Linked DNA regions of Caenorhabditis elegans. The protein of the gene in region 1 interacts with the protein of each later gene in a pairwise test. Each region holds a gene or a part of one and is shown in the gene's direction. Other genes may lie near its edges.

Region 1 (4,435 bases):
TTTTTTAAAAATGAAACTGAAGATTGAGTTGAATTGATAAATGAAAACTAATTTGAATACGAAATTCTAATTGCGCTGATAAATAGGATATCTATAAAATCAAACAATTCAAAATTACTGATGAATCATTCAGAAATTGCTTTGAAATGGACTGAATTTGTACAAAACGTAAATAAAAAATCCCAAAAGAAACAAAAATGTGAACATTAAAGGAACATTTTCGCTCAGAAGGCAAGGGTCTTGCAGCGATTCATTGCAAAGGGTACGGTAGCCGATTCAAACTAGAAACAGTTTTTCTATCTAATTTTTTTATTTCTCTTTCATTCCCAAAATTGTATTTTTCCTGTTTTTTAAAAGTTGATGAGTTTAAAAATTAAACATATTTTCTCAACTTGATTCCCTAAAAAGTGGCATAAGAGTGAAAACTCACCGTTCGGTATGCTTTAAAAATCAGAAAATAGATTTTTGATGATCACAAGGGATTTTTATTTTTATTAAATGTCCGTGCTCTAGATAATTGTTTTAAACTTGAAAAAAAAGTTCACTTCTAAATTCTTCAGGCTTCTGTCGAAAATTAAATAAGGAGCTTCAAGCTGAGAAAAAAAACGAAACTTGTTCTAAATAATATTCAAAGGAGACTCTGCAAAACAGTAGCTTTTGTTTTATAACTTTTTCTCAATTTTCTCGAGTTTTCCGACATTTAACTGTGATTTTCACATTTTTCCGCGGTTTCACTCCTGTTCTCCAAATTCTTAAATATCGAATTTTTGCGAATTTCGAACTTTGTCTCTTTATTCTCATAATTTCTATGGATTCCGAACAGGTGGTGTGTTCGCTTCATTTTTGTTGAGACCCCACGCCACCTTGATGACCTCTTCCCCTTCGTGAACGACAGATAAACCAAACACAGAAAGTAATGCTAAGAGCTCGACCTGCGCCGATGACGTCATCAGAGGTTGCGCGAATCTAACAATGCACACGGTTATGGGGGGGGGGGGGGGCGGGTCACAATCGTGTGATGGCACACATCTGTTCGGAGGAGAAGACGTGTGCCAACAGATTATGCAGTTAATGTAGCAGAGTTTTTTCGTAATTTTAATAGTTTTTCGAGCTACTTTTTAATCTTGAAAATTAATTAACTAGGAGCCAAAATTAAATCAAACCTTTGCAATCATCCATGACAAAGACGGGGAATTTTTAATAAATATTAAGTTTTTTTTTTCATATTTGCGGCGGTCCTTATCTATTTATTTAATTAACATATCTTCCAGAATATATATTTCGAACTCTTTAGTCACCACTCTCTCCAGTCGTTAGAAATGTTGCGCCAATTTCTTCCTCCTTTTTCTTCCTTTTCTCTTCATCCCCCTTTAGTACCACCTAGTCACCCCATACCGTTGTCACCATCTGTACACTCTGCGGGAAGCACAGTCTCTATCGCGATTTGGCACAGTGCCAACATTTTGGGCGGGAAATGGGCAGCTGTTGCACCTAGTCTGTCTTTGAGATGCTAGTACCATACCAGTCATTTTATGCGCGCGCGAACGTTCAAACCCCTCTGTCTATTAGGAGCACTGTTTATTGATTGAAATCCGCTTCTGCACTTATTGTTAAATTTTTAATTGCGAGCCTTATCTCCTCATCTGAATATAACTTGCATAGACAAGATTTCATCAGATACATATTTAATTGAACTCCGATTCCCATCATTTGTTAATCAATTGTTCCTTGATAGAATTCTGCAATTAAATTTCCCGCAAAAATCTTACCACGGTACGTGAAAGTGCGTCACGGTGTATGACATCTCTAGGCGGGAGTTTCCATTTGAAATGTGAATAATTCTTATCTCTTGCCGTCGCATTTCATGTCATCGCACTTCAATACTGTTTTATAATACTTTTTTTTGGTTATCTTGAAGCTCTTTTTTCTAATTTATCATTTTTCCAGGGCATCTCTAGTCACGAATGGTTCCGTCTCCTCGTAAGCAGGCGCCACCAACGCCTAAAAAAATGGCACAAAAGACTCCAACAAAAGGAACAAGATCGTCTCCACGTAAGAAGGCGTGGGGCTCACCGATCAAAGCGACTGCCAAATTTCAGAGTGATATCTTTGTAAGTTTTACTTGTTTTTATTTTAAAAATGTTCAAATTTTGAAAATTAAATATTTCAGTCGGTCGAGGATTTCGCCGACCTTTCGAACAGATCGTGGGCTGAAGTTACCGAGGAAGACGATGAGCTTGCTAGTAGACTTGAAGAAGAAAGACGTTGCAAGAGTGAATCTCGCAGAAAGGGACAGCCAAAGAGGGTACAGGATTTCGCATTTTATAAATTAAATGCTCATTAGCATATTTTAATTTTTTTCCAGGCCCAGAACAGTCAAAACAAGCCGAAATTCGTTCGTTCACTTGAGCTGACAAATGAAGTGTTCCAGTCAACGTCTTCTCGTCGTTCACAAAGAAGCAAATCCCGAACACGTAACGGAGACACCATCACAACCGTCGAGGAGCACACAGAAACTGTCGTTATGGAATCCTCTTCAGGCCCGATAAGCCGTAAAAGATGTTTGTCAAATGCGTCAACCATTAATGAAGGTGCATCACCTTCAAAACGTCGTCCAGAAACTGGGAAATCGAATCGTAAAGCACCACGAGGCCGTCTGTTCACAAATGGTGGATCCGATAGTTCGAGTGTGGCGAGCAGTCCGTCACGAAGGGATCATTGGGAAGAGCCGACTCTCGGATGGTGCACTGATGAGGCTGTATTGAAGAGACGCTCAAGGGTAATTATTTGGACATTAGTGGCTTTAAAACTATTCTGTTTGTTTTCAGGAAATCGACAGAGCCAAGGAAAAGGCTGTCTATCAACGATATACTTCGGAGGTGCCACTTCGCGATCGCATCAAGGGACAACATCCACGAACCCCAAATAAGCTTATAAACTTCAGTCGCCGCAGTTGGGATACTCAAATCAAGAAATGGAAGAGAAGCTTGTACGAGTATTGTGGAGAGGAGCCATCAGATTCTGTCAATACTTCTTTCTGTTACTCAGATTCCGATGCATTGAGTGAGGCCGGTGACAACGATAAGGAGATTGAGAACAGATCTGTTCTCCGAGATCTTGTCATTCCAGTCACTGTATGTTTTTAAAATTATTAAACTTATTTTAAAGCAAAATATTCTTTTTTCAGATGCGACCAGAAGTTGACTCAATGGCTTCCCTACTCGGAAAGTTCGATGTGGACTCACAAATGGGAATGGATGAGAGCACTCTGAAAGCTTCAACCAACACGGATCCATCGGCTCCAACTGACTTCTCCAAGATGTCGTCGCACTAAAGATACTCATTTTCCTTCTTGAATCCTGTTTTGGTTTTAAAAAACCCGTCTATTTTCTAATTTAAAATTTTCCACCCTCAACATCTTTCCTACCCCCTCAACTTTTTTCTTTCTTTCACTCTAATCAGTAATGTTCAATCGATCCGTAATAGAAATAGTACGATGATTGGGATAATGGGCCCCTGTCATATTTCAAAGTCTGTTCTATTTTCTCCTTCTAATTTCTCTCTTTCTTTCTCATTTCATTTTTCGCGTCTCTTCCTAATTGCTTGTGTTGTTAAAAACGAATTTCATTGAATTATAATTTGATTTCCTATATATTTCCAAACATATAACCCCTACCTATCCTATCTATTCAGACCCATAATTCACCAAAAAACGATGATTGCACTTATTGAAAATTGAGAATAAATTTGTGCTATGCCCCTCAATTGAAAAAAAACCATGACCGATTTGAAAGGATTTACGAGATTATGATCAGATTTCAAGTTCAATTTTCGGGGCGGTGGATACTCAAATAAAGTCTTTTTTTTTTGTTATTTGCCAGAAAAATGTTGAAACTACTCGCTTTCGTCGCTCTTTTGTCCGTTTCTGTCAGTGCCAACGTGGATATGACCGGTTTCGGTAAGATTCTATAGGTTTTCGTTGCGAGACCCAAAAAATTTCAGGTCTTCCAGCCGACAATCACAAGGTTGCACTCGGAGGTCCGATCCAGGAATCTGCAGGGCTTGCTGGTTGGTTTAGATTTTTAGACTTAATTCTGGGAAAAACTAAAAAAAATTAAATAACTTCAAAATTCCAGACGAAGGAGAACAACAGCTCCAACTTGTCGACGTGAGCCCACAAGACGAGGGACAACAGAATGTGGCTCATGTTAGAGAAAGTAAGATTTGAGATGTTTGTGGAAATTTCACTAATAGAAGAAATTTCCAGTGTTCTCCAACGTGTTCAACAGCATCAAGACCCAACGCGAGCAGGCGATGGCTGCTAACGGTTCCCAGCCAACTGATTAAGGACTTGCGCTGGAAAAATTATTGATTATTTGTTAATGGCCCATAAATGGTTTCAAGTCGTAACAAAATTTGAAATTAAATAGCTTTA
Region 2 (5,076 bases), on another chromosome or scaffold:
TTTTATGCTCTTTGTGAGGGACGGACATACGGTGACCAAGGGCATAGTGTCAGAACCAAGAGGAACCATCTGTTTGGAGATGTTTTGAAATTTTGTTTTGGCAATGCTGGGCATTTTTCACTTCTGGTAACGGTTTTGCATTGGGTAGTTTGAAGTTCGGAGCAGTGGTTGGTGGCAATTACAACTGGGCCGTTCAAATTTTCGATAATTCGATAATTTCCTCAATTTTTGAGATTTGGCAGTTGTTATCTATTGCCAAATATTTTTAATTTCCAAAGGTCAAACAAGGAGGGGCGATGTTGACTGTCTCTAAAGCTAGTCATAACTAGGTCTGTGAAACAGCGGAAGGAAACTTTCCAAAAAATTAATTGCCTCCAATAATTCTCTCATCGGCAACATTGTCAATCTACAAGCTGGTTCAACAATAAAAACTGTTTGTTCTCTCTCTTCTTTGCTATTGCGAAAAATTGTCTCATTGCAACACCTCTCTCGCCTTCATCTTTTCTGCCTCCGAATTCCCACTACTGTGATTGACTGAGATGAAAAGAATAGAATGAAACAGTGTAATAAACTAAACGTTTTTGTTTTTTTTTTCTGCTGTTTTGTGGCCAACACAACGCCTGTTGGTTTCGTCTTCTTCATCCTGATGGCGGTGGCGAGAATAAGAGAGGAGAGCAACAAATAGCACAGAAATAGCAACAGTTGTGTGTGCACCTCTGCTATCAATTGAAGCTCTCCGTAAGCATTATTTTTTGCTGTTTTGATATATTGGAATTCTTTTGAAACTATGTGAACAATTTTTTATTGTGATATTTGCCAATAATGTGTATTTTGGGTCTTGTAGCGACCAACATGACTGACAATGAGAAAATTACTCTATCGAAAACTTCTAATTAAAAATACTAATCGTGATTTCACTTTATCAAGTTCACAAGCTTTTTAGAAACGTGTAATAAACGCCTCAAGAATGTATTCGGTTGGGTCTCGCCACGATAAAAAATTGTGGTAGCAATTTTCTATTTATTCGGGATTTCGTGAGCAATTTTTGTAATCATCACTTTAATTTTTTCTCGATGTTTTCCTATTTTTTCCTGAACTAAAAAATACGAATTACTTATTGAAAAGCTAACGAAAATCAAGGAAAATCGTTAAAAACTAATAAATTCCTGAAAAAAATAAAAATTTCCACCATAAACGTTTTCGTCGCGGCGAGACCCACTCGAACATAACTATGCGCCTTTAAGTTTACTGTAGACAAATTTTGTCCGTTTTTTCGATGTTTTCCTCTATTTTTTTCTATTTTCCTACCATTTATTGTATTTTAATTAAAAAGTAATTAAAAAGCTAAAAAATTAACTTATTCCCTGCAAACTTTCGACACGAAATCTTCATTTCTCAAAAATTAGTGTTATTCGCGCTGCGAATCCACATTTTCCACTTTTTCACGTTCTCTGGCATTTATAAATTTGTTTTTGTTTTTCAGAAGATAAAAACGTAAAAATTCACGTTATAAATTCCCATTAAAATCGTCAAAGCCAAAATTTTGAATTCGTATTTATTTCTAGTAAAAAAAAAGTATTCTTCAACTTTGAATGTAAATTTAGTTAACTCTTCCACTGTTTTTCTCCAATACTCTTTCTTTTTTCATTTCCACCTTCAAATGATCCTAATATTTCATGTTTTCTCACCACAATCTGCGGGTACCGGAGAAAAGGTGTAATTTTTCTTTATTGTCCTTCTCTACTATGCCTCCCAGAATTTATTGCGTTTTTTATGCCGGGCATTGGCTACTTTTTCTCCCAACAACACCAATTCATCCCTTCTGTCTTTTTTTTTCGCAGAAAAACAGAACAAAATGTGGCATTTCGAATAGAGCGCGTTTGCATTACTCCCCCCCCTCCTCCCTGTCGGCCGGGCAATTCAAATTTTAACACTTTCTTTTGCTCTATAAACTTTTAAAACTTCTATTTTCAATGAAAGTTGCAGTTTTTTTTCTAATTTTTATTAATTTCCTCCACATTTCAGAGCAAATGGGTACCGATAGAGATCCCGGAGACCAGAAACACCCAACGACTAGCCAGCAGCCACGAGATTCGAAAATGCAGTTGGCAAAAGTTCTTCTTCCCGACGGAGTTCAAAAGGAGTTTGAGGTTAATGTAAGTTTTTGAAGAATTTCACCGGAAAAACTGCTAAATTCTAAATTTTTACAGAAAAACTCGGAAGGAGAAGCACTTTTCCGACAAGTGACACGAGATCTATCGATTGAGGAACGCGAATACTTCTCGCTGTGCTTCTACGACAAAGATGAGGGAACACGACATTGGCTATATAATGATAAGAATATTGCGAAACAGATTAAAGGTAAAAATGAGAAAAAAAAGAAAATTTTGGTTAAAAATGTGGATTTTCTTCACAAAAAGCTAATTTCCCCCGCTTTTTCAAAAAAAAAAAACTGCCTTGAAATTTTTGGAAAGCTGTTTCAAGTAAATAAAAATATTTCTCTTATTCGGAAAAGAAATTGAATCGATTTCATGTCCAAAGTTGTATTAATTTTCCTTTTTTTTTGTAAATTCCCTGATGAATTACAAGAATCTAGGAATATTATCCTTAAAAATATAATAAAAAACTCTAACCCGCGGCCACGTGTCGATTTACGCAGCTCGTGTATTCCTCGAAGAAAAATAGTTTTTCTACATTTTTCGCAAAGTTTTCTCAAATCTTCTGTGTATTTCAAAGAAAATCGAAAAATCTGATAATTTTAATTTTGAAATCGAGTCTTTTTTAAAAGTTTACTGATTTTTTATAGAGCGAAAGCGGAAAATATTGAAAGTTGGAATTTTTGTTTCAAAAAAAAAAATTAGTCTGAAAAACATCGAAATCTCGAACAATTTTCAACCAAAAACTGCGTAAATCAACACATGGCCGTGTAAGAGGTTTCCCGCGGCCACCTATTTCATTTTCTTTTTTAAATCAATTTTTCAACCAACTGTCAAATTTTGCAGGTCTTCCTTGGGAATTCTCGTTCGAGGTCAAATTCTACCCGACCACACCTACAACGATCGTCGACGATCACGCTCGCTACTACGTCTTCCTTCAACTCAGACGTGATCTCCTCACCGGACGTCTTCCAGCTACTGCCGACACACATTCTCTTCTCGGATCGTTTGTCGCTCAAATCGAGTTCGGTGATGCTCCAGCAGAGATGACGGATGCCTACGAGCAGTTCATTGTGGCGTCCAAGCTGGTGCCATCAGCACAAGCGAATCCGGAAACATACAAGAAGATTGTCGATTTGCACAGAGAGATGCGCGGACAGACGCCTTCTGAAGCTGAAAATCAATTTTTGGATCACTGCAAGCACCTGGCTCTCTACGGAATCCACCTTTTCAAGGCAATCTCCGTATGTTTTTCGACAAAAAAAGGTTCCTGCTCGAGTACTCCACTAGGAAAATATTTTTTCTTAAATTAACATCTAAACTTCTATCATTTTCTTCTTTTAGTGCTCATTCTTCAAGTCCTTAATTTTGAAGAAATATTTTTAGTGGTTTATGAAAAAAATAGTAGTATTTACTTTTGTCTAAAATAATTAATTTGTTAAGTATTCTCTTTCAATTTATCAGCTTGGTGATTTTTAAGCTAATTTTGAAATTTCCGCCAATTTCTTGAGGGTGATCAAATTTTATTCACTGAAAAGTGTTTGGCAAATTGAAAAACGGTGTTTTAACTTAAAAATAAAAAGAAAATCAGGAAAACTGGTAAATTTAGCCAGTCAACGCATTGGATGTTTGAATCGAATTATTATTAAATTTGAATGAAAATTTGTCATATTCGGTCATTAGGGTTTTCTGTCACTTAAAGCACAAAATGTTTTGACTCTGTTCCACCTGTAAAGGAGTAAAAACTATTCGAAAATGCCCAAATTAGCTTTGTTTTTATAATTATAAAATATCTTTCAGGATAAGGACAAGAAGCCTGTGGACGTTGGAATCGGTGCCGCCGGAATAAACATTTACCAAGACGAGCAAAAGACGCATTCCTTCAGCTGGCAGAATATTATCAAAATCGGATATCGTCGTACTTACTTCTCGATAAAGCTCAAGGCAGGGACTGTCGAGAAGAATGAGAAGACATTGTACTTCAAGTTGCCAAACCATGTCGCCGCAAAGAGGACTTGGAAGTGTGCAGTCGAACATCACACTTTCTTTAGGTAATTTTTGAGAATAACTTATCTCAAAAACTGAATTTCTAAAAGAGAAGTTTAAAAAATACGTGAAGATTGCCTAAAATTATCTAAAAATTTCGGATTTTTCATCTTGCAGGAGTCGAAAAATAATTTTTGTTCTAATTTTCGAATTCCTGCTCGATGGATCAATTTTTTTTCAACTGTTTAACTGAAATTGATTTTTGTTTTGTTGAATTGTCGAACATGCTTTTCCAAAATTACGATTAAATAATTATCTCTGTCGTTTAAATTTAATTTCGACGGGTCTGAAAAAATTATTTCTTAAAATTAAATAAAATCTTTAATTTCAGACTGATCCAACCTGAAGACAAGACACATAAATCATTCTTCAACTTTGGCTCCCAGCGGTTCCGCTATCAAGGACGCACTCAATTCCAGACAAAGATTGCCTCGCAGATGTTTGATAAACCATCGACAGTGGACAGAGCGCCATCTGCAATGTCTCAACCAATAGCAAGTGAGTTTTTGATTACAATAGTTGAAATACATTATTAATGAATTTACAGCAGCCGAGAATCAGAAACTTCAAACACTCAATCTCACGGATTCGGAATTGGAGCAGCGCCAATTTGAGGTTAGTTTAATTGGTTTCCAGTGTGCTTTTCTATGTTTTTGTTCTAATATTATTTTGCATGAAACGCTTTTTAGAGCGCTTTTTTGTGTTTTCTATCGCTCACATCACAATAACTGCTTTTCAAATTTTGGAGAAAAACCACCGAAAACCCCTCAAGCACAAACACAAAATTCACATGTTTCTTCTTTCTACTCAAAAATTTTCAAACTTTTCCGCTAAAACGTCAACTTTTTTCTTCATAGTTCTTCCCCTTATTCTT

What was found.
Region 2: the proteins of cdl-1 (region 1) and frm-1 interact in a two-hybrid assay, tested with the Caenorhabditis elegans proteins (one large-scale study listed by BioGRID).

Annotation. Positions count from the first base shown.
Region 1 is NC_003280.10:10,783,505-10,787,939, forward strand, and holds cdl-1 (Histone RNA hairpin-binding protein), read left to right. Parts: upstream 1-1,947; 5' UTR 1,948-1,964; coding exon 1,965-2,111; intron 2,112-2,170; coding exon 2,171-2,305; intron 2,306-2,365; coding exon 2,366-2,779; intron 2,780-2,828; coding exon 2,829-3,134; intron 3,135-3,187; coding exon 3,188-3,334; 3' UTR 3,335-3,768; downstream 3,769-4,435. Other genes in the region: Putative protein tag-209, read left to right, coding at 3,886-3,958, 4,003-4,068, 4,137-4,217, 4,268-4,347. UniProt on the Caenorhabditis elegans protein: Involved in histone pre-mRNA 3' processing. Required for chromosome condensation, progression of cell death and morphogenesis.
Region 2 is NC_003279.8:14,894,317-14,899,392, reverse strand, and holds the start of frm-1 (Moesin/ezrin/radixin homolog 1), read left to right. Parts: upstream 1-2,030; coding exon 2,031-2,156; intron 2,157-2,210; coding exon 2,211-2,361; intron 2,362-2,608; exon of another isoform or gene 2,609-2,830; intron 2,831-3,002; coding exon 3,003-3,400; intron 3,401-3,956; coding exon 3,957-4,207; intron 4,208-4,533; coding exon 4,534-4,700; intron 4,701-4,749; coding exon 4,750-4,817; intron 4,818-5,076.